2 linked regions of the Medicago truncatula genome follow. The protein of the gene in region 2 binds, or shares a complex with, the protein of the main gene of each other region. Links are inferred from orthologs where the notes say so. Each region holds a gene or a part of one and is shown on either strand. Other genes may lie near its edges. The genes, in order: mitotic-spindle organizing protein 1B and gamma-tubulin complex component 2.

Region 1 (13,026 bases), on a different chromosome or scaffold from region 2:
ATGAGCTTTGCTTTCGCAATGATGGCATCCCGTGGACAAACGGCATATTCTGAAGCAGCAACTATAGTAGAGCAGATAATCGGTTCAATTCGAACAGTATGTGTGCCAACTCCCTCCATAGAGAATATTTCCTTTTTTTCCTTTCCTTTTTCATGTTTCTAACTAAGGATACACGACGCAACTGCTCCAATGCGCGCAGGTTGCATCATTTACCGGCGAGAAACAAGCTATATCTCAATACAATCAATCCTTAGCTAAAGCTTACAAAGTTGGAGTACAAGAGGGATTGGCTATTGGTTTAGGCCTCGGTTCGGTTCGTTTATTTGTTTACTGCAGTTATGCTTTGGCTGTATGGTTTGGAGGGAAGATGGTACTTGAGAAAGGTTATACAGGAGGTGAAGTCATAAGTGTATTTTTTGCAGTACTAACTGGTTCCTTGTAAGTCAAGTTAAGTTATTTTTTTGCAAGATTAGACTCTCATACATAAATCACTTTTTATGAGCTAATTTTATTTTCTAGGTCTCTAGGACAAGCAACTTCGAGCTTAACAGCATTTTCTGCTGGACAAGCTGCAGCCTTTAAGATGTTTGAAACAATCAAAAGGAAGCCGGAAATTGATGCTTATGACAAAATCGGGCTAAAGCTTAATGACATTCAGGGAGACATAGAGCTTAGGGAGGTTTGCTTTAGTTATCCTACAAGACCAAATGAACTAATATTCAATGCATTTTCTCTTTCGATATCAAGTGGTACTACCGTGGCTTTAGTCGGGCAAAGTGGGAGTGGAAAATCAACAGTGATAAATTTGATAGAGAGATTTTATGATCCACAGGATGGTCAAATTATCATTGACGGTATTGACCTCAGAGAATTTCAATTGAAATGGATCAGACAGAAAATAGGCCTAGTGAGTCAGGAACCAGTTCTCTTTACTTGTAGCATTAAAGAGAACATTGCCTATGGTAAGGATGCGGCAACCGATGAAGAAATCCGAGCTGCAGCAGAACTTGCTAATGCTGCTAACTTCATCGATAAATTTCCTCTTGTAAGCTCTCATTTCTTGATTTATCCATCTTGTGAAAATTTCTACACTGTTCTGCTTTTTCACAATACTGGAGACTATTTTATAGTATATATTTTTTCATTAAATTTAAATGTCCTTTTTACCTTACTAGTACTGGAAAATTATTGATTTAGGGACTTGAAACGATGGTCGGTGAGCATGGAGCACAACTCTCTGGAGGCCAAAAGCAAAGAATTGCTATAGCAAGAGCAATTCTGAAAGATCCAAGAATTCTACTCCTTGATGAAGCAACAAGTGCCCTTGATGCAGAATCTGAAAGAGTAGTACAAGAGACCCTGGACAGAATTATGATAAACCGAACAACCATCATTGTAGCTCACCGCCTAAGCACAATAAGGAACGCTGATATCATTGCTGTTATTCACGAAGGAAAAGTAGTAGAAAAAGGTAACATACATACATACATACATACATACATAAATACATACATGCATGCATGCATACTAAGTATGTCGCAATGCAGCAGTCTTATATCTTCTACTAACTGATTATTAGGTACACATGCTGAGCTCACTAAAAATCCTGATGGAGCTTATAGTCAACTCATTAGATTGCAAGAAATTAAAAAGGATTCATCAGAACAGTTTGGTGATAATGACTCGGATAAGCTAGAAAACTTTGTAGACTCTGGAAGAGAGTCAAGCCAAAGGTCTTTAAGCCGCGGATCATCAGGGATTGGAAACAGTAGTCACAACTCATTCATAGCATCAAATTCTATGCCAGACACACTAGTAGGAGGGTCTGAAGTTGTTCCTTCAGCAAAAGCATCATCAACTAAAACTCGAGATGCCCCATTTTTTCTCCTTGCTTATCTTAACAAGCCTGAAATCCCGGTGTTACTCATGGGAGCTCTGGCAGCAACAGTAAATGGTGCAATGTTACCTATTCTGGGCCTTCTAATCTCCAAAATGATAAATACATTTTTTGAGCCTGCAGATGAACTTCGTAAAGACTCAAAATTTTGGGCATTAATATTTGTTTCCCTTAGCGTGGCATCTTTCATTTTTCATCCGTTAAGGTCATACTCTTTTGCTGTAGCTGGTTCTAAATTGATAAAAAGAATCCGGTTAATGTGCTTCGAGAAAATAATTCACATGGAAGTAGGATGGTTTGATAAAGCTGAGAATTCAAGTGGTGCGCTTGGTGCAAGGCTGTCAACTGATGCTGCTTCGATTCGAACTTTGGTTGGTGACGCACTCGGTTTGCTTGTTCAAGATATCTCTACAGTTATTACAGCCTTGGTAATTTCCTTTCAGGCAAATTGGCAGCTTTCTCTCATCATTCTTGTTTTGTTGCCTCTACTATTAGTAAATGGATATTTTCAAATCAAGGCCATGCAAGGATTCAGCACAGACGCAAAGGTTTGTGCCTTACACAATGTGCTTCAATTGCGTCACAATGCATTTTTGTCTCTAAATTTATTTAGTACATATTTTGTTTCTATATGAAATTTGTACTAATCTTCATTTGACATGATGTTTCTATGCTCTAAATATGTTTCACAGAAACTATACGAGGAAGCAAGTCAAGTAGCGAACGACGCAGTAGGGAATATCAGAACAGTTTCTGCTTTCTGTGCCGAAGAGAAAGTGATGGAATTATACCAGAAGAAATGTGTAGTACCATTCCAGACAGGAAAAAGGCAGGGTTTAGTCAGTGGAACTGGTTTTGGGTTAGCAATCTTCTTTCTGTTTTGTGTCTATGCAATCAGTTTTTATGCTGGCGCCCAACTTATTGAGAATGGCAAAACTTCGATGTCAGGAGTTTTTCAAGTAAGTTACGGTCCCAACTCGGAGGCCATTTCAGATATAGTGCTCTTTGGTTGAACTCTGAGCTCATCACATTCTTTTAGCATTAAACATTTAATTTCTTTTCAGGTATTTTTCTCTCTCACAACGGCAGCTGTCGCATTATCTCAATCCGGCTTCATGGCTCCAGGAGCTAGTAAAGCCAAAAGTTCAGCTGCTTCAGTATTTGCTATTCTTGATCAGAAATCAAAAATAGATACCAGTGATGAATCAGGAATGATACTGGAAGATGTGAAGGGAGAGATTGAGTTCCATCATGTCACTTTCAAGTATCCAACCAGACCTGATGTTCATATATTCAAAAATCTTTCCTTGACCATTCATTCAGGACAGGTAAATTAAAAATATTATATATTGGTTTAGTGCATAATTCTCACAAGAATTCACTATCAAAAAATCCATCTAGGTTTTTCTAAGAGAGAAGCTTAACGTTTGGTTGTTTCAATCAGACAGTTGCTCTAGTAGGTGAAAGTGGAAGTGGAAAATCAACAGTGATCTCATTGTTGCAAAGATTTTATGATCCAGATTCAGGTCAGATTAAACTGGATGGAACAGAAATCCAAAAGCTACAGCTTAAATGGTTTAGGCAGCAAATGGGACTGGTAAGCCAAGAGCCTGTGCTGTTTAATGACACCATCAGAGCTAACATTGCCTATGGAAAAGGTGGTAATGCAACTGAGGCTGAAGTTATAGCTGCAGCAGAACTAGCAAATGCTCATAACTTCATTAGTAGTTTGCAGCAGGTAAACTACAGAAATTTATGAAGCATTGACACGTACACAAACACTAAATTGTTTATGGTTCTGTTAAGAGAGGAAACCAAACTGAACTTTTACTACTTCGGTAAGAATGAACCAAACCTTTAATGGTTCATCCAGGACCTAAACAAACTAGTATAAAGGTTCGGTGCACCGATTCAGTGGTTTCAAACCAAACGGAAAATATTTTTACAAAAAAACGAACTGTACTTTTTTCAAACTGAACTAGTTCTTTGTGAATTTAATTGTACCAAATTGCTATTATTAATTGATAATTAGGGCTGTTGAAGAAAACCAAAAACGAAACCAAATTGAATTTTATGACTGTTTAAAAAACTAAAAATCGAATCACTCATAAAAGAACCAAACTATGATAGATAGTTCATGAACTGAACCGAACTGAGTTCAGTCCAGTTCGTGAACTGTCAGTCACAATTAGATTTTTTCGGTATGGTGGAGTTCGCTTCGGTTTAACTGTTCCATACATTTTTTTTAAACAGTCCTAACTGACACGATGTTGACTCTAACACGAAGGCATTAGTAAGAATTTAAGAAAATAAACGTGTAACCGCATGTGTTAGAATCATCGTGTTAGACACTAGACATGTCTTTGATCTAAAGTGTCAGTACTACATAGCACACAATACTCAATGAGCTGAACCTGTTCTTAAAACTCTTGCTACGAACGTGTGAATTGCAATATTTCAAATAACTAGCTACCTATGATGCATGCCTTACGAGGTTCTGAATTCTAGAAAAATAACATATGCAGGGGTATGATACAATAGTAGGAGAGCGAGGGATTCAACTTTCTGGAGGACAGAAGCAACGTGTGGCAATTGCAAGAGCCATAGTTAACAGGCCAAGAATATTACTACTAGATGAGGCCACAAGTGCCCTTGATGCAGAGTCTGAAAAAGTGGTTCAAGATGCACTTGATAGAGTGAGGGTGGACAGAACCACCATTGTGGTGGCTCATAGATTATCAACAATAAAGGGTGCAAATTCAATTGCAGTTGTTAAAAATGGAGTGATTGAAGAGAAAGGAAAACATGACATATTGATCAACAAGGGTGGCACCTATGCTTCTTTAGTAGCATTGCACACAACTAGCACTGCTTCATCTTAAGACTCTTTCAACCTATTCAATCTATTTTTGCATGCTTCTTCAAAAAAAAAAAAAAAATTCTATTTTTGCATGGTTTCTAGAATAAGTTATTTTGAAAAAGTTTTTTTTTATACACACACATTCTGCTGCATCTAATATATAGAAGCATTTATATACATGCTTATTACCTCCAGTACGATTGACACTATTGTGTACATTTTTTTTTTTTTTTGGTAAAATGCTTAAGTATACATTTAACAATGAATTGTGTCATTTTAACAACAAATTATAGGGTTAACACAATTTAAGTAGCACCACTTCATCTTAAGACTCTTCACATTGTTGTATTTATATATACTGTTACTTTTTATATTCTATAAGAAATCTTGATTTTCTATCAATTAATTTAATAACTGTTTCATATTTTTAGGTAAAAATATGATTTTTCATACGGTACTTTGACTATATCTTCTGTTCTCCTTCTAATTCATTAAATTTGATATTATTTAGCTTTGTTTATGTACATTTTCTACTCTCTTTTTTTTTTTTTTTTATATAAAAAAACTTTACATCATCATTTTGTTTTCTAATTCTATTTTTTCACGTTGTATTTTATTTTAAAAAATCTAAAATTTAAATGTGATAATTGATTATTATTATTATTGACGATAAAGAAAAGTAAGTAAAAGATAATCAATTACAAGACACATAGGAACTCCTGTATTGTTTAAATGGGTACCAAAGGTTGGATAAATGTGGTAAGTATAAAAAAAAGTTGGATAACTCAACTGATTTGAACCTAAAGATTAAAGAAGCCGAGGTGATAAAAATTTAGGGTAGTTCAAGTTCGTTGATTTGAACCTAAAGATTAAAGAAGCCGAGGTGATAAAAATTTAGGGTAGTTCAAGTTCGTTTAATGAGAAAAATACTAACATATAACATAATAATGTTTGTCATTAAAAAAATGCTTAAGTGGATTTCACATAGTTCATTTTATAATTTTGGATATCAATAACTAATAATATCTAATGAGCATTCAATTTCTTCAACTCAACATTTCAATTGTTGTAATAAATAAATTCTATAAATAACCATATCATTACCATTAAACAAAACTAATTTATTTTAAAATATTTTATTAAGTTGGGTCCGCAAAAATAAACAACAAAGATTCTTTTAATAAACATCATTCTCTAGAAGAACTCAAAATTATCGTTTGACAACATAGGTATGTATTTAGATGTTAAATAAACGAAGCACACACCATTGTGATGCTCGGTGAAAAGGGAGCGGAAAGGTGGTTTGTTACCCCTAAACAAATATGAAGCTAATTAAAAAAAGGTAATTAACTTTCGTTTGGTTCGAGAGTTTTGGAAGGGAGGAAATATATTTAATTTGATGTGTTTGATTCAATTTTAAAAAGGCCTTTAAGATTTTCATATTATATAATCCGAAGTGAGTTTTTTTTTTCCTTTTTTTGTAGAACATTGTTTTTTTCCACCAATTTGGATTATAAAATTTGAAAAGAAAAAAAAAAAGTACTTCGTATTTTATAATACGAACACTCCTTGTACAACATACTTGGAAACATAAAATCCGAACTCCCTATACATCTTCTTATGTTAAGAATTCATGAGAAAATATATCAGATTATATAATCTGAATCCTGCTATCAACACAAAAGACTAAGCATTTTTGTGTAGGATAACCAATTTAAGAATCATATTAAACATCCTAAGGCCATTGTTCGATGTTTCCGCCATGTCTTATAAAAAAATCCAATTTTTAGGCTAGTTGATGAGTTTTTACTTCAAAACTTGTGATATTGGATTATTAACCCACTACAAGGATTCTAAATCGTGTTTTTCTAGTTCGAATTAATAAACACAAACATCAAAAATATGCTGGGAATAAGACTAAGGGCAAAGAAAGTATGGTGAGAAAAATAATTGCCTAAAAGAATACACAATTACCGACCTAAACTCATCTATAAATACAAAATTTGCGACCTAAAATCTCAAATTAATTTTAATTCTTATTCTTTTTTCCACCGCCGCTCCGTCCAAGCCTTTCATCTCTGTTTCGCAGTTGGCATAGGTTCTGATTCTGCAATCTCTCTGCCACGCCGCAACATCTTTCACCTTCGCATCAGCAGGTTTTATCGATTGATCCTTTCTTTTCTTTCAGAATTACTACCGATCACTTATAAATCACAATTTTAACATTGAATTGAATTAAGTATTATTGCTGATTGTTTTTTTATGAGTCACTTTTTGTTGCCGTACCGAGTACTGTGAATCACAATTGCAACACTGCATTGAATTTTGTTATTTTCTTAAATTTTACTATTATTATTATTGTTATTATCAATGTCACGATTGTTTGCAATGATCTTGTGAACACAATTAATTTATGAGAATATAATCCCCGTCAACACTTATATGGAGGTCTCCTTTTTCATGGCAACGGATTCAAGTGCTTTCAAATGATGAATCCAAAAAACAAAAGAATCATACCATTTTCAATATAATTAACAATATTGATTTGTTGTGTTAGTGTGATTTTCAACAATATTAATATGTAAAACTCAAACGAACTTTGTTAATTATTTTTAAATGAATTTACATGATAAAGATCAAAAGAATTATGTTTAAAGTAATTAAACTCACAAATTTAGCGAGAGGAGAACTTGTGAGAATTATACCATTTTTTTTTTTCTTTCTGGCTAAAATGACTTTAGAGTGAGAATTAGGGTTCCCCTAAGAACATTAGAAGAGTGATGAGCCATCAATTGCCAATGTTTGTGAATTACGCTTTTTGCAATATGATAGTGAGAAGATAAAGGAAGGAAGTGTGTTGATAACAAGTGGTCATGTAACCAGTGATGATGAATCATAGAAGGATGATAACAACAATGAAAAGAACAAGTCGGCGTTGAGTTTCAAGAGTTCTAAAGACAAGATTTTGCAAACATCTCAAGATTGCAAGGAACCGCTTCTAATAACGATATTGAAGAGAAGAAGATTGATGAAAGTGAAACTTAATTCGGGTCCATACATGTTATGAATTTTTAATGAGCTTCCAAGTGATGTTTTTGAATATGAAACCATTTAGCGTCTTTTTTTAGTTTATATTTTTTATTAGGAATGATATTATGATTTTGTGTGGATACCCTTGATGTTGTTATGTAATTTGCCTTGTTGGCAATTTTTTTAATTATAATATCACATGTATTATTGAGCCTTTTATGAAATACATAATAAAACCGCTTAATAATCCATAAATATATTATAACTAAAAATCCTCAATAAGGAAAATTACATGACAACATCAAAGGTATCCCACACAAAAATCATGCTATCATTTCTCATACAATAAACATAAACAAAAAAGAGACACTAATTGGTTTCATCTTCAAAATCATCACTTGGAAGCTCATTCGAATCAAAATTCATAACAACTATTGACCCTAATTCAGTTTCACTTTCGTTAATCTTCTTCTCTTCAATATCATTATTAGAGGAGTCATGTTCCTTGCAATCTTGTGATGTTTGAAAAATCTGTCTTTAGGAATCTTGAACCTCAACACCTGTCGTGGCGGTTAAATACAAAAGCTTTCTTGCAATATGATATATGGTAAAGAGAAGATGAAGGAAGTGTGCTGCTAACAATTAGTCATGTTACGAGTGATGATGAATCATAGAAGGATGATAGCCACAATGAAAAGAACAATTCGGCGTTGAGTTTCAAAATTTCTAAAGATAAGATTTTTCGAACATCTCAAGATTGCAAGGAATTGCCTCTTGTAACCATATTGAAGAGAAGAAGATTAATGAAGGTGAAACTTAATTCGGATCAATACATGTTATGAATTATGATTTTAATGATCTTCCAAGTGATGCTTTTGAATATGAAACCAATTATCATCTCTTTTTTTGTTTATATTTTTTGTTACGAATAATATTATGATTTTTGTGTGGGATAGCCATGATGTTGTTATTTAAATTTGCCTTTTTGATAGTTTTTTAAATTATAATATCACACGTATTATTGAGCAGTATACAAAATACAAACGGCATAATAATAAAAATTCTCAATAAGGAAAATTACATGACAACATTAAGGGTATGGAACACAAATTATATTATCATTTCTCATTCAATTTATATAACAAAAAAAAAGACACTAGTTGGTTTCATCTTCAAAACCATCACTTGGAAGCTCGTTCAATTCAAAATTCATAACAATTATTGACCCTAATTCAGTTTCACTTTCGTTAATCTTCTTCTCTTCAATATCGTTATTATCGTTATTATAGGAGTCACGTTCCTTGCAATCGTGATGTTTGAAAAAATCTTGTCTTTAGGAATCTTAAACCTTAACACCCACTTCTTCATTTCATTGTGGCTATTATTCTTTAATAATTCATCAAAATCACTTGTAACATATCAATTGTTAGCAACACAACTTGTTCCTTAATCTTTTCATTATCATCCATGATGTTGCAAGAAAGTCTGTGCCTTTTACTGTCATGATTGTGATTCACATCAAAATTGGCAGTTTCCTAGTAACTCCATGAGACGAGTTCAACTGTGTTTGATCATCAATAATAACTCTTTTGTTCTTATATGTTATTCGGAGATTCTCACTCTAAAACCATTTTCTGAACAAAAAAAAAAAAGGAATAATTCTCACTCACAAATTGTCCTCTTCAGTCTTCATAGAGCATGATTAGAATGTTATAATTTCTACTCGCTAATTTTGTAGCTAGGTTTTATCATGTTAATTCATTTAAACATGATTCTTGCGAGATTCATCGCGTTAATTCATTTAAAAATGTTAGAAAATTACACTAGCACATCTGATCAATATTCTTAATCATATTGAATATGATATGATATTTTTTTTTTTGGATTCACTTTGAACTCAATTGTATCCAATGTGTAATTTTTTTTTACAGGGTGACTAATTTTCATTTCGTAGTCGCCATGAAAAGGGAGGCCTGAAGAAACCCATTTTCGTCTGTTGTCCTTAATAATATTTTCCTCGATCATAAATTAGTTTGTCGAGGACATCATCTGCATATAAGTTTTTGAAATTTTTAATTAGTAAGCCTATCATCATACCATCTTTTTGTGACATTAATGTCCACATTACAATGTCATGAACCCCTGATTGAGAATGTGTTTCACTTAGAATTCGAAGTACTCTACCTACACGAATAATATGTTCCAAACCTAATAAATTAATGCATAATTGTGACAACTGAATTTTATAGAACTTTTAAATGTTGAATAAAGATCAAATCACTCATAGATAAAATAGTAGTCTTCCTACCATGTTCAATCAAATTTCACGTGTTATACTCTTTAATATCATTGTAACATGATAAAAATCGTCAGCGTTATTGACTTTACTTGGTTGGGTTGCATCATCTAATTTTGATACATGTTGTTAAACTAGTGGCTGCAAGGGAAGCCCTCATGTAAGTCAAGTTAGGAGGACTGTAAGGAAAATGGGACTTCAGTTCAATTCTAAGAGGCAATTGCCTTTTCCAACTTCAATAAGGCAATCATGTACTCTTGGAATCGAACCGAAGTTCCCATTTTTGTGATTCTTCAACATTTTTTGTTCTTCCTATGTGTAGTACTTTTCCCATTGATCCTGCTGTGTTCTTTGTAGTGGTGATATTGATCCACCAGGCACCCATAATTGACTGCACATGAGGTTTGATGTTTTAATTTATATTAAGAAAACTTATCTTTGTTTAAGGGTTTTATTGTTGTTTGTTTTAGACGATGGGATTTTAATGTATATTATATGTCATGGATTTTTGTGTATTTGTTATGTGCTTTATTTTACAAGTTATAGCCATTTATCAGTTATCTATGAAGTTTAGCTTTACATTTGTTATTAACTGGTTCTACCGACGGTTGGACCATGACTTGGGGTCTCGCCAGTTCAACTTCAGGTCTGGTTTGAAAACATTGACTTTAGGTTTTAGATAGTAGTTTAGAAGGTAACTTTGACATGTGTTTAGGTGTTTTCATTTTGCAATTCTGAACTAGTAAACATATCATATGCACATCTCAGCTTTAAGCATGGATCCTGAAGCTGCAAGAAGTGCACGAGAATCTTTGGACCTGGCATTTCACATGTCCAATATACTCGACACGGGTTTAGACCGTCATGCACTTTCTATTCTCATTGCCCTCTGTGATCTTGGGGTCAATCCTGAAGCACTTGCTGCTATTGTCAAGGAACTTAGAAAGGAGAGGCTCCCACTGTCATCATTGCTTCCTACACCTCCTTCTTAATCATGAATGTATTTTGTTATATCTCTCTCCAATGTTGTTTTATGGAAGGTATTTTTTATGTTTATATTTGAATTGTTGTATGCATATTGAGACACTGGTTTATCAAGAAATGTTGGTTAATTTTTTAAAGCATTATAGACAAAAGAAACAATGGAAGAATAGTTTAGGTGTATTCGATTTCTTCCTGATAGAAGTATTAGTTTTGTTTTGTTCTTTTTGTTAATTTTTCCAATTGACAGAAACTCTTACAAAAGCTATTATCTGAATTTATTGCAAGATTGATTCATCTTGGAAGCAATATGTATTTTAGCAAGGTTTCCTAGTAATAGTGTACCTGCCTAATGTTTATATATATTTTCTTATTACACTTATGAAACAAGGAAGGCTTTACTTTCTTATTTTATGTGACGTATATACAGGTCAAATATTGTATTTATTTGGTAGCTACATTTCTAAAAGATGGGGCAGATTGTTTTCTATTTCATAAGTTCTTATTTCTTTCATTTTGTTTTGGTCACTATTTGTAAACTTAAATCAGGCTTGAAGCTTCCTAGCTTTTTGAGACTTGCCTATTATTCTTTTGTTTAGGTTCAATAACCTTTGGTTTGAACTTAGTTTACTCAGTACATGTCGTTTCTTAGGATTTTTATACTTTGTTTTCATGCCTTGGTGTAGGAATCGTAATGTCTGCATCTTTTATAGAAATTACATTTCATCAACTTGTGAGGGCTCTAATGTATTTATGTGGAATGTTTGTGATGGCAGGTATAACTTCATGAATTCTTTAAAAAAAAAAAAAAAGTATAATTTCATGAATAGTAAGAAGATTAGGTCCTGTGAGCGAAATTCAAATGCATTTGTTATAACCCCAAGAGTTTTTCTTCTTTTTTTTTTCTTCTTCTTTCTAATGCAGTTTTGATGACAGAGATTTGAATCGCAGTTCAAAATATTGTGGTAGTTAACCCTAAACAATCAAATATTCATTCATCCATAAACTCTAGTAAATTCATATACTCATTTGTAATCCAATATCTTCGATTCATCACTAATTCAATATAGGATGATTTTCACAACCCTTTTGGCCATTTTTGTGACTATTGTTTAAAGTTGCTTATGACAATTTCATGTCATTGCCCAACTCCGTATGCAAAGATACTTTTTAGTTTGGTTCATTGTATAATCTATTAGAAATCAATAACAAATTTATAAGAAAAGAAACTAAACTTTTTTGGGGTAGGAAGCATAATAATGTTCCCTAGTAATGAATGTGTTGCTCGCATAGGTTCACGTTGAAATCCATATAAAACTCGTTCCTTCACTCATAGTCAGCAGGTTGTTTCGGTAGGAAACCACTATAATTAGGGCATTTATAACCTTAGTGGCTCTATAGAGTAACTTCGCAAACTTCAAATTAGTGGACCGACCGTAGGATTAATTTTTGAAATAATTAAAATATGAAAGAAAAATAGCTAATTTTTTTAAGGGAAAAAATAACTAAATTTTTATTTTTGAAATAATTAAATGCTTATGAGTATGTCTAAATAAATTTTAAAGTTGTGACTACATAAGTATTTCTCTATTAACCGGATAACGGTACTTAATGGTCACACTTGAGAACCCATTAAAGTTGGTTGCTCGGAATATGATAGATCCACTCAAGGGCTAATACAACACTCCATACATGACAAAAATAAATTGCAACATGGTCCTTTTATTGTTTGTTTATGTGTTATGTGTCTAGATGCAAATACCATTTAATTGCTCTCTTGTAAATTACAAGCAAACCAACAAGAGCAATGATATTTGTACATCCATTTAATGACAACTTTGGTGACAATTTTGTTTTCCTCTCTTTTGATTGGTCAAAAACAATGAAGAGAGAAAAAGAAAGAGAGAGGATAATAACATCATGTGAGTATGAGAGAGAAAGTTGTCAAAAAGTTGTAGCAAA
Region 2 (12,544 bases):
TGCAAACAGGAAACAAAGCAAAACAGGTTAGCATCTTTGTGATTATTAGAGAAAACATATTAACTGAAAATTGAAAATTAAGGAAAACGCACAAAACAAACACAACCTTAAATTTCGATCCTTTATCCATTTTTAGGTTTTCTAGTATTGGTAGTTATTGTCTCCGAATTGAACAATGTAAGACGAACATGATCATACCTGATCAAGAAGAAGGTAGTGTTTTATAGACCGCAATTTTCCTGTTAGATCATACTACACATACAAACACAATTCACAATCAGAACTTGGATTTTAAACAATAACAAATATTGCAGAAGCATTAAACTGTAAGCTGAGAACTTAAAAAGCCTAAATATATTTAAAATCACCTTTTCCTTAATGAGATTCACGAGTTCACCACTTGCAAAGTTATAAGCAGCCTTGATACATTCAAGATAATGATGATTTGAGCCAAAGCTCATTAGTTTCGAATTTTCTGATGGAGGCACCTAGAATAAAAAGTAACTACATTTAGTGAACAGTAAATATTTCACAAGCACACTCCAACTTGAATGGCTAAAGAGAAGATAAATTTATTCTACATACAAGCACAACAGTATCAGCACCTGAACATTGTGTCCACATTCTCTCAGGACATTTAGATATTTTCCTGTGGTCAAAATTGTTCCTGCAGAATTCGCAAGGAAGCTTGGAATTCCATCTTTGAGGCTATAACGTTGTCGCCAGTACTTAGCATCATAATCTTTAGTGAGACTCTCCTATAGAGAATATGAAACTGAGGTCATATGAAAAAACAAGTTTTGATATTAATTTTAGGCTGTAATAAGTGATTGAATATTTTGATATTAATTTTGGGTACCTTTTGAAGAGATTTGTCTTCTGCAATGAAAAATTCACCATAAGGATCATCTATTACTCCTTCATAGACCCATCTTTAGGATTGTTTGATTCCCAAATGAACAATAATATGGAATGTTAATTAGAGATAACTCAACATCAAGAGTGCACAAGACAATCATAACTTAAGGGAAATTAACTTGTAGAAAAGATTATAAGGAGTTTGAAAAAGGGAACTTAGATGTATGTGTCCCCATAAGCATGGTCTGGACGCCAAAAGACGGTGACATGGCTTTTAAATATTTATTTATAGTGAGATTCATGTAAAAACCAATACAAACAGTATAACTGAATATTAATTTGATTTGGTGTAAGTCTATGGCTTTTCTACATGTTATAGATAGATCATACCAATGTACAAGATTAATTATTCTTATTTGTGCAAAATTCCAATACAAACAGCATAATAGTAGAATATTAATCTGATTCAACATAGGGCTTTCTCTACATATTAATTATCAGATCTAGGTAAACGGATCGAAGAGAATGGAAAAAGAAGGTCAATCCTTCATTTTGCTTGGACCTTGTGAACTATATGAAAAGAAACGAATGAAGGATTTTCAGGTGATCCAAAATCAACCTATATTAAATTTTATGAACATTTTTTTTAAAATCCACACAAAAGGAAGTAAATTATTTACTTATCGTTCCTCATTTTTTTTTCTCTCTCTTTTCTTCCATATTTTTACTTTAACTTATTTGGTTCCCTTCTCTCCAAACATACCCAATAACCCAAAGGAGATGGAATACGGGAGAAGAAAATAACATATGCATTTGCTAGCCAATGATAAATGGCATATTAAAGGAGATAAATAGAAACCTTTCTAAAATGCTCATGTAGGCCCTACTTGCACATTGTGTCATTTTCTCCAGCAACAACCTAACTGCATTATCTCCAGCCATAGCCTTTGCCTATATACAATTGAATCCATAGTGGAGAGAGAGTTAAGTGCTTGAGAAACTGATACATGAAACTAAAGGGAAGTTTTTTAACATGTGAAGACTTTAGAAAATGGTGACAATTACAAGAGATATTCATTACCTGGCTCTGCAGTAAGTTAAGAACGGCGGAACCAGTAAAATTGTTGACTGAAGCCTTCTGTATGACAGTAGACAATGCTTGCATTGACCTCAACATGGGCTGAAACACATCATTGAAGGTATTATCAGCAATAATTTGACAAACATTTACTGATTTACATTTAATCCGAAACAAATTCATACCTGACAGTAGAACCACAATCCTTGAAGGGAAAGTCTCCCAAGCCGAAACTGGTGCTCAAGTTGTGCCACCATGGCCTGGTAATCCTGGTAAAGATAATGGCATGCCTTAATGGTAAAAGTAATTTCGTATTCAAATTGCACATTTTAATCAAAAGATATCATATACGCAGGCAGAACTGAAACAGATGTGAAGATTTATTTTGTTAATTTATGCTATGCTACTAGTTTTTGCTTATTAAAATCATTTTAGCTTTCTCATTAAGTAATAACCTGCAAATCAGATATTTACATAGGCTTAGGTGGTTTCGGCATGTAGAGAGAAGACCTATGATTTTGTGATAAGGAAAGTAGATCAGATGAAGGGGAGTGAAATCACTAGAGGTAAAGGAAGACCTAGATAACTATAAGAGAAACTATTAAGAAAGATCTGGGGATTGATGAGTTGGATACACATATGGTATTTGATAGACATTATGAAGTGGTTTGATCCATGTAGCCGACCCACTTAATGGGACATGGCTTGGTTGTTGTATTGGAGAAGGAAGCTATTCAGCAGAACCTTGGTTCTAAGATTACGAGAGTATCAAACAAACTGCTTTAGTTCAACAAAAGGGGGTAATACCCCCGGGGTATCATCTTTGTGGAGGGATTTCACTAACGGGCACTGGCAACTTTGGCCCATTGAAGTTTCATCTTTTTTTGGAAGATCCCTTATCCTACAAATTCTTCTACCAAAATTTTTTGAAAATAAAAACACTACATTCCAAACTAAACTAGAGCACATTTCAAACATATTGAGTCCTACTACTTCTACAAAATATTTGACCCTAAATGAGTTTGAAAATTCAAGTGGGTAAGATACTAAATAAAATTTTAGACTTGACCTCATGATGCACTGAAACCGACACATTGTAGACACATAAACACCGGCAATGTCCAAAATATAGCACTCCATGACACACAAACAGAAAGAACTTGAAGTATTACATTTTCCTACCATAACGAGTCACGCCTAAAAATACTAGTTAGTTAAGCACTTTGATTCTTTGCAACAAAATATTCTTTTTTTTTTTAGATAAATTCTTTGCAAAAAAGATTCAATACAATATGATGAGATATTGAACCTTTGTCTATCACCTTTAATCCATCCATCTATTACCAAATAGTGAAAAAGTATATTAAGTCAATGAAAGGACTTTCATCACCATTTAAAAAAAAAAAAAAGTTTTTGGTACCAACCATGTTCCTTTTAATTTCAGGCCAAACGGAAGGGTATGCTAGATGTCAGAGCAGTGTCCTCGACATATCGAAGCCTAAACAAATTATATCCCAACACTAAAATTGAGTGTCAGACACATGTCATGTGTGTGTCGGGCACACCTTAAACCTAAAGCGCCGGTTTTGCATAACACTACAGGACAACTAACTCTACTGATTTTCAATCTTAGAAATCTGTAGTCCAGAAAATGAAAATTACCAAACTTTTATTTTTAAGAAGCTAAACTAGCCCACCAAAATTGGCACCGGGGAGAAAATTAACAAACTAAATGCACACTTTTAACTAAAGTTTGATTGCCATTCCCTAGGAAAGAGTATTCTCAAAGTAAATAAATAAATAAAAGTGATCACTAAACAACAGTTCCTCGTAGAAACTATGATCTATTTATATCCCCTGCCCCCAACAGAAGATAAATAAAGGTAGTGTGCTGTAAGCTTCGTTCGGAAAAGAATCAGAAGGTGCTACTTCAGGTATACTGAGCCAGCATCATGCACTAAACATTAACACTTGAAATACTTAAGAAAAATAATTAGTCTACCAGACAATAACAGGTTACCAAAAGAAGTTAAGGGCCATTTATAAAAGGTGAATATATATAGACACACAGACACATGAAAACATATTTTCAAGAAGCAAACAATTACTTCATGCGAAATGTAAATCAACCAACTGACTCACTGTTCAGAAAAACATACGAGAAGGAATGCCCTAAGTGCGGCAGAAAAGGCATGATTGACTAGGCCATTCTCGAACTGAGACCTTGATTCCACAAATTGGTTGATCAACAAAAAGCTCCTACATAGAGGAAATATCCGTTTTGCCAACTCCTGCAACAACAAAACTGGCTCAGACTCAGCTCTATCATTGTATTAAATTATACTGTTCATTATCTAATCTGAATAATACAGCTATAGCATAGGACAATTTACATTCCCCATCAGCTTTCTTAGCAAATAGATACCTCCAAAAACACAATTCGGGGGCAGAGTTATGGATGCAAATCACAGTTTGAAACAATGACCGAATATAGAAAACATGGTTGCAGAAAATAATTTCCTTTATTTTGAATTACTGCCAAACACAGAGTGCAACTTAAATTAAAAAGCATTGCAGTATTTGAATTGCAAGATAGATGCTTCATATTCCATTTCTAAAGTTTACAAAAAATAATAATACAGAAACATGAAAGTAAAACCTAAATGGCTTTAATGAACCTATTTTATTTTAGCACTAGGTTATGATACTGAACATATTAAACACCTTATAAACTTCTAGTCTATAAAAAAAAAAATGTATAGAAAGTATTTCCGTTACCGCTATAGTTTGGCTTGCCATCTAAACTTCCTATCAGTTATCAGTTATTATCACCATAAAGAAAAAGGGGGAGGTTTAACACCTTTAATGTTATGATTGCGGGTCAAACCATGGTAGCGAAAAATTATGCAAATCTCACCTGTAGTGCCAAATCCATAGATGGGTCAACCAGGAAATTAATAATCTCATCCTTCTTTCCACGAAGTGTTTTGATTGAAATGTAACGCCCTTCAACTCCAACCATAGCAGAGAGGACTTCATCAATAACAATAAGCTCCTATATTTCAGTAGAACAAAACAATAGCTTAAATTTTTAAATCTTGAAACCCTAAATTGAATATGAATGCAGATATACACAGTACTTGAATACATATGAATAGAAATGAATACATACACACACAAAGAGAAAACTTTAAAAACCAATACAACACCAAGCCAAATAAGATGGCAGCATATAGAGGACACAAAGTGAAATAATTTTCAAAAATATTTAAAAAACCTAATCTATGCAGTTTGATGAAAGAATAACATTGTTGTCAATCACAGATTGCAATGTAGTAGTTTGTTCAAATTATGCTATGCTTTCCTATATCCGATATTTGAGGATACTTTGAACTAAAATGTGTGTCATAAAACCATAACGATATGTTAAAATTCTGTTTCTGCTATAGCCGCTACTTGATGACACTACAAAGCATAGCCAGGACCTTAATTTCTTACCAATAATCATAGCATAGTTCACTTTGTCTAATTTGTTAAAAAAAAAAAATTGAAAAAAAAAAGGTCCTTCCCTTGGCATAACAAATAGTACATTTTCTTAATTCCGAGCAATGTGCCGTATAAAAAAGCTTATATACAGTATAAACATATGTATTTTGAATTGAAGTTAGGTTTTTGAACTAAGATAAAATGTTAGGTAAAAATTGAATAGAATCGAAGGCAATTACACTACTAGAGAATACTTGAGCAATCACATTCTTAGAGACTACACAGAAATTCGAAAAACAAGCACCAAAATGAAGAGAACAAAAAGTTGATAGGTGACAATAGATCTGAGAATGGTTCGATAAGTGAGAGAGAGAGAGAGGGAGGAACGTACTTGAACAGGAGGATCGTAATAGCCGATAAGATTTTCAAACCCTGCGGCGGCGGTTTGATTCATGTTGAAATGCAGTGAAAGCAGATCGGAAGAAAAAGCGCTTTTCAGTAATCGCTTTTTTAAAGATTATTTGCGAATCGAAATGGGAAAGAGATGTTATGAACTATGGGAAGATAAATGCAGAGAGAGTGAAGTGAAGTTGTTAACTCACTAGATTTTCTTCTTACTTCTTTATTCTCTCTATTATTTTGAATTTTGTCTGGTTTCTTCTTTTCAGGAATCTCTCCATTCCATTCTTCACTTTTCAAAATAACTCCTTTTTATTTTATTTTATTTTATTTATTTTTAAGTCAAAAACTCACTTTGATTTTATCTCTGAAATTGTCCAAGTTATTTTTCTTTAGTAAATTACACTCTCCTCCTCTCAAAGATGCTTGAATTACACTCCCCTCTCCTCTTATATTAAAATATACACTCCCCTCTCTTGAAAAATAAAATTTATAATCCCTTCCCTTATAAGATGTTTAAATTACAACACTCTCCCTTAATAATTAACTATGGACTACACTTTAATCTATTTAAACATAAATAAATATTTTTATAATATATTTCAATTTTAAACCACCATTTAAGAAAAATTAATTCATTTCTTTATAATTTAAATGTCAATGATAATTAAGTTTAAACATTTTGCTACTGATTTTATAATTTAGAGTATAAAATTAACTTTTAATTTGTCTTTAGTAATTTTTCACATATTTTAATTTTAGTTTTGGTTGTTTATATTTTATAATAGGGTTTAAAACTACATGTTAATGAAATTGTGAATAAAAAATAGCGAAAAATATGTATTCAATTTTTATTATATTAAAATAGACCCACAATACTATTTTTTTGAAGTGTGTTAGATTATTATTTTTTTGCTAGATTATTAAAAATAAAATAAAAATTAATATTGAAGGAGTAAAGTGTAGATTTTAACATAAGAGGGGAGGGGAATGTAATTCAAGCTTCTCTTAGGGGAGGGGAGTGAAAAAAATTCAAATAAGTTTTGAATAAGAGGGGAAGGGAGTGTATATTTTAACATAAGAGGGGAGGGGAGTGTAATTCAAGCATCTTTGAGGGGAGGGGAGTGTAATTTACTCTATATTTTAACATAAGAGGGGAGGGGAATGTAATTCAAGCTTCTCTTAGGGGAGGGGAGTGAAAAAAATTCAAATAAGTTTTGAATAAGAGGATAGGGGAATGTATATTTTAACATAAGAGGGGAGGGTAGTGTAATTCAAGCATCTTTGAGGGGAGGGAAGTGTAATTTACTCTTTTTTTTTTTCTTTCTCATTAATAGTATCAATCTTGAAAACTTAAAAAAAAAAAAAAAAAAAACTCATCGAAATTGATATCGGGAAAAATCAAACCTGATACGTTAGAAGAAACACGTTTCAAGCTCTCAACTACCACCGTGGATTTGAAAACTTAAATCGGGTTAAACACCTTTATAATTTATATAAATATAAATACATTACATTACATTTCGTTTCTAATTGCCATAAGAATTTTTTAAGTTTCCTTTGGTACATCTTGTTAACGATTGCCCTACGGACATTATTTAATGATTTCATTAAATGAAATTTTGTCTTAAAAATATAAGTTACTCCAATAATTACACGTTTTTTTAGATAAATTTACCACTTTTAATACTTTAATCAATACCCCAAAGACACTCGTTAGTCTTTTTTAAAAATATGGTTAGCCTTTTTTAAAAATATTTGCATAAGCATGCTAATTTTTTTTTATTTTTTATGGAGACATAAATATGTCAATGTTTTTTATGAGGACTAAATGTGATATATTTATAGAGATCAAAAACATATTTAACCTTAATATAGTACGCTAAAATGTGAAAAGAAAAATACATAAAAAATGTTGTATTATGACTCAAATTTGATGAATAGAGGGTAGGCCAAAATCAGGCCACGATTTTGGCCCACTTTTGGAGTGTTCTTTCGACATTTTTCAGACCACAATTTGGTAAAATCGAAGTCCGATTTTGGATAAGGAAATATGTGTACTGTGGTACTATTGGGTAAATTGGGGCACAATTTGCTGAAATTGGGGCACATTTTTGCCGGGTCTGAGCACTATAAAAGGCTTCAAGAGAAAGAAACTTAAAAAAATCAAATTAGATAACTTTAGAGTTAAGGGTTTTTGCTTAGGATAATGCTTGTTTTTAAGGGAACCCGAAGAGACAAAACGCACGAAAATATCCAAGCCGTGCATTTTCACCAACACATGGGCGTGATTTCCATTACATAAGGATTAATACTTTTTTATTTTTTAGAAAAGAGCGGACAATGTTATTCTTGCTATTCTTGCGGCCATCTTTCCTACAACATAGCATTGCCCCTTTGATTAAGGTTCTTTTGAGGGGTTTTCTTGGGTAGGAAAACATTTGTAAACATTTCCCCAATTTCTTGTAACATTTTTGTATCTCTTTGTAAGAACTCATTGATAATGGCTTGGAGAGATCAATCTCTCCCCATAGTAGGTCAAGTTGGGCCGAACTGGGTAAACATTTCTATGTGTGTTTGTTTCTCTTATCTCTTTATCTTTTGCTTGTGGTTTTGTACTCTTCACTTTATTCCTAGATTAAATCTAGGTTTGTTGTTGTTGTTGCTGCTCATTGTGGTTACTTTGATACTGGTTATTACTTTCCTTTGCTCCACATATGATAGTTTATTGGTGTGTTTTTGAGTCCGAATTCTAGCGTTATGGGTGTATTATGTTTATGCATACTTAATAGGCATTATCCTTCGTATTTTATTGTAAGTCACTTTAAAAGAAAAAAAATTGGTTTTATTATAAGTCGCTTTAGAATTGAAATGCATCATTCCTATCGTACCATTTACCATTTATTACTCTATTTTTTTCAATTTTTTAATCTTTTTTTCACATATCATTAATAAGGGATAATTTTGTGAAATCATTTATAATTTCTCTTTGCAATACAAAATTAACTATATTTCATAATATGTGTGAAAATATCAAAACAAGTTTAATAAAATAAGGAGAGAGTAATAGATTATAGGTAAGTTTGTTACAAGATATAATAAGAAATGAAAAAGTCAATTCAAATAATGTATTCCTTTTATATATAATTTTTTTAGGGATCCTTTTATATTTAATTTATTTACAGGGTCAATTGCTCAAATTAACCTGATGTCTGAAAAATGTCTCAGTAAAATAAATAAAAAAACAAATATACTAACCTTGTAATAAGACTACACACAAAAAAAATTCCACTAGGGACTGATAATTATGATTTTTTATGCCATGATTAATCTCTCTCTTTTCTTAAAACTTTAAAATTTTATCGTGAAGATTCTTACGATGTTCTAGCCATGACTACACAATTAAAGAATGAAATTTGACTTATGAGTATACATTTATTCGAAACAAAATTACAATTTTGCATATTTTGGTTTGAGAGTAAAAATAAATCAAAACATTTTTGAAATCTCATGAAACTATGCAAATCTTTTTTATGTATTTTTATAGATGTCTCTCCAAACAAATAACTAAAAATTTGATTTATAAGTCAAAATCTCCGTTATTTTGTTTTTTAAGTTTTTACCGTTTTAAAAATTCATAATTAATTTATCCTAGTTGAAAAATTCCAATTTTTTTTTGTGCAAATCCATACTTTAATGTCTTAAACATGTATGGAAAAAATCTTGAATTTTTCATGTAGAACCATATTTTTTTTCAATGGGTTTTAACGTCTTTTTTCTATTATAATCACCACCATTTATTATCTTTTGTCTATTATTACTCTCATTTCTTTTTCTATAACATTTTTTGTCTATTAGTATGAGATGACCAAGTCTACACAGAATATTTAACAAATAGAAGAAAGACTAATGACTTGGTGCCAAAAAAAAAGAAAAGAAGAAAGACTAATGATGATGAAATTTTTATAAATCATATGGATCAATTTGATTCTACAATCTGTTTAGCTTTTCTGTATTATGGTGGACTTAGCCACCTCTTTCCTCTAGATGTTTCCGTTACAGGGATAGATCTAATTTTCCTTTTCGCAGGTTATACACTTACTGACTTTGTTGTATTGGTTCAGGCATCTCCTGTCTTTTATATTTTAGTGCTTTGATAATTTTTTTTTTCTTTCTACTTCTTCCCTTTTTTCTCTTCTCACTGATTCTTCAATCCATCAGTGTTGTAGCTCAAACCAAAAGTACCATAGCAGCTGGTGATTTTCATATTTCAGAAACCAACACCTCTCCATGGTTGCTTTCACCTTCTGGTGACTTTGCCTTTGGTTTTCTTTCAATCAAAACACTGATCATTTTTTGCTTTCCATCTGGTATGCAAATTTTTTAGAGAAAACTGTTGTGTGGTATCCTAATGGAGTCAGTCCTGTAACAATAGGGTCAAAAGTGGAGCTAACTTTCACTGATGGGTTGGTGCTAACTTCTCCGAATGGTGTAAGGTTATGGAATAATGAGCAACTCAGTAGTGATGTTTTTTCCAGTGTGCTCAATGACACGGGGAACTTTGTGCTTGGAGGTCGCGCTTTCAACACTCTTTGGCAGACTTTCGACTTTCCCTGTGACACCTTGTTGCCTTCTCAGGTTATTCTAAAAGATGGAAAGCTTTCTTCAAGGCTTAAGGAGTCAAATTTCAGTAAAGGAAGGTTTGAGCTTGTTTTAAAAAATGATAGTAATCTTGTTATTCATTCTATTATCTTACCATCTGGTAATGCTAATGAAGAAAACTACTATGAAAGTGGAACTGTGGAATCCAATACTTCAAGTCCTGGAGCTCAATTGGTCTTTGACAAATCAGGAGACTTGTATCTCTTGAGAGAGAACAGTGAGAAATTCTATATCTCAGGAGAAGATGGAGTACAAGATGAGGAGAGTAAAGTCTCCCCTACTAATTTTTATCTTAGAGCAACTCTTAATTTTGATGGAGTGTTTTCACCTTTCAAGCATCCAAAGAACTCAACTGATAGTGGAAATTGGACTACAGTGTGGTCTCATCCTAAAAATATATGTCAATATATTGTTAGTTCAGGTAGTGGTGTTTGTGGATATAATACCATCTGCACTTTGGGAGATGATAAGAGACCAACATGTCGGTGTCCAAAACGTTACTCACTGCTTGATCCTGATGATCCACATGGTAGCTGCAAGCCAGATTTCATACAAGGATGTGCAGAAGATGAACAAAGTAAAACAAAGGATCTATATGAGTTTCAGGTTTTGAATGACACTGATTGGCCTCTATCAGATGCCGTGCTTCTAACGCGTTTTACAGATGAACAATGTAGGAAAGCTAGTATGGAAGATTGCATGTGTTCTGTGGCTATTTGGAGGTTAGGTGATAGTTGTTGGAAGAAGAAGTTACCACTCTCAAATTGAAGAGTTGATGCGAGTCTTGGTGGTGCCAAGGCTCTCTTAAAAGTGAGAAAAGAAGTGAACACGAATAATAATAATAATAATAACAATAATAATAATAACAATAACAATAATAAGAATAATAATAATAATAATAACAATAATAATAATAATAATAATAATAATAATAGACAAACATTGGTTTTGGTTGGTTCTGTGCTTTTTGGTAGCTCTGCTATTCTCAATGTTGTATTGATTGTAACAATCTGTGTCAGCACCTCCATTTTTCAGCACAAGAAAAAGCTTAGAAGAGTTATCAAAGGTGACACGTGTGTTGAAATTAAATCCAATTTGTGTTGCTTCACTTATGAAGAGCTTGAAGAAGCTACCAATGGATTTGACAAAGAGCTAGGAAGGGGAGCTTTTGGTATTGTTTACGAAGGAGTCATCAACAACGACACAGATTCCAAAACTCGGGTGGCAGTGCAAAAGTTAAACAGTTTTTTGTTGGATCAAGCCCATAGGGAATTCAGGAATGAGTTGAATTCCATTGGTCTCACTCATCACAAGAACTTGGTTCGTTTACTTGGATTTTGTGAGTGTAGAAGTGAAAGATTGCTTGTTTATGAGTACATGAGCAATGGCACTTTGGCAAGTTTTCTTTTCAATGCTGATGATGAGAAACAAAAACCAAGTTGGAAACTAAGGCTAGAACTTGCAATAGGTATAGCTAGAGGACTTGTGTATTTACATGAAGAGTGCATCACTAGGATCATCCATTGTGACATAAAGCCTCAGAACATACTCCTTGATGATTACTTCAATGCAAGAATTTCTGATTTTGGATTAGCAAAGCTGTTGAACATGAATCAAAGCAAAACCAACACTGGCATAAGAGGAACAAAAGGGTATGTTGCACTTGAATGGTTTAAAAACATGCCTATCACAGCTAAGGTTGATGTGTATAGTTATGGTGTAGTGCTACTTGAGATAATTTCATGTAGAAAATGTGTTGAAGAAATGGATGAAGAAGATGAAGACAAAGCTATCTTAACTGATTGGGCTTATGATTGCTACAAATATGGTGCTTTAGGTGCATTGGTTGAGGGTGACAATGAGGCATTGGAGGACAAGGAAAATTTGGAGAAATTGGTAAAGATTGCTATTTGGTGTGTTCAAGAGGATGCATGTCTTAGATCAACCATGAGAAATGTGATACATATGCTTGAAGGTACTGTTGAAGTGCAAGCTCCGTTAAACCCCTCACCGTTTAGTATTCAATATTCTCTAAATTAATAAGTTGCTAAGCAAGGGGTT

Evidence for each region.
Region 1: gamma-tubulin complex component 2 (region 2) and mitotic-spindle organizing protein 1B share a complex: the UniProt entries of both Arabidopsis thaliana proteins name them as parts of the gamma-tubulin complex. The link is inferred for Medicago truncatula from reciprocal best matches to the Arabidopsis thaliana genes AT5G17410 and GIP1.

The regions. Positions count from the first base shown.
Region 1 is NC_053045.1:59,335,271-59,348,296, forward strand, and holds mitotic-spindle organizing protein 1B, read left to right. Parts: upstream 1-6,635; 5' UTR 6,636-6,913; intron 6,914-9,718; 5' UTR 9,719-10,838; coding exon 10,839-11,075; 3' UTR 11,076-11,204; downstream 11,205-13,026. Other genes in the region: ABC transporter B family member 3, read left to right, coding at 1-96, 200-438, 520-1,045, 1,198-1,471, 1,580-2,445, 2,590-2,856, 2,962-3,225, 3,342-3,635 and 1 more. UniProt on the Arabidopsis thaliana protein: Required for gamma-tubulin complex recruitment to the microtubule organizing centers (MTOCs). During mitosis, modulates gamma-tubulin complex localization, spindle stability and chromosomal segregation. Necessary for gametophyte development and embryogenesis.
Region 2 is NC_053049.1:2,944,541-2,957,084, reverse strand, and holds the start of gamma-tubulin complex component 2, read right to left. Parts: upstream 6,106-12,544; 5' UTR 5,877-6,105; coding exon 5,814-5,876; intron 4,992-5,813; coding exon 4,854-4,991; intron 4,228-4,853; coding exon 4,096-4,227; exon of another isoform or gene 4,079-4,095; intron 2,206-4,078; coding exon 2,122-2,205; intron 2,039-2,121; coding exon 1,940-2,038; intron 1,810-1,939; coding exon 1,718-1,809; intron 933-1,717; coding exon 860-932; intron 759-859; coding exon 606-758; intron 489-605; coding exon 369-488; intron 253-368; coding exon 199-252; intron 1-198. Other genes in the region: G-type lectin S-receptor-like serine/threonine-protein kinase RLK1, read left to right, coding at 9,796-9,910, 10,209-11,251. UniProt on the Arabidopsis thaliana protein: Gamma-tubulin complex is necessary for microtubule nucleation at the microtubule organizing centers (MTOCs). Required for the positioning of the gamma-tubulin-containing complex on pre-existing microtubules and for the proper organization of cortical arrays.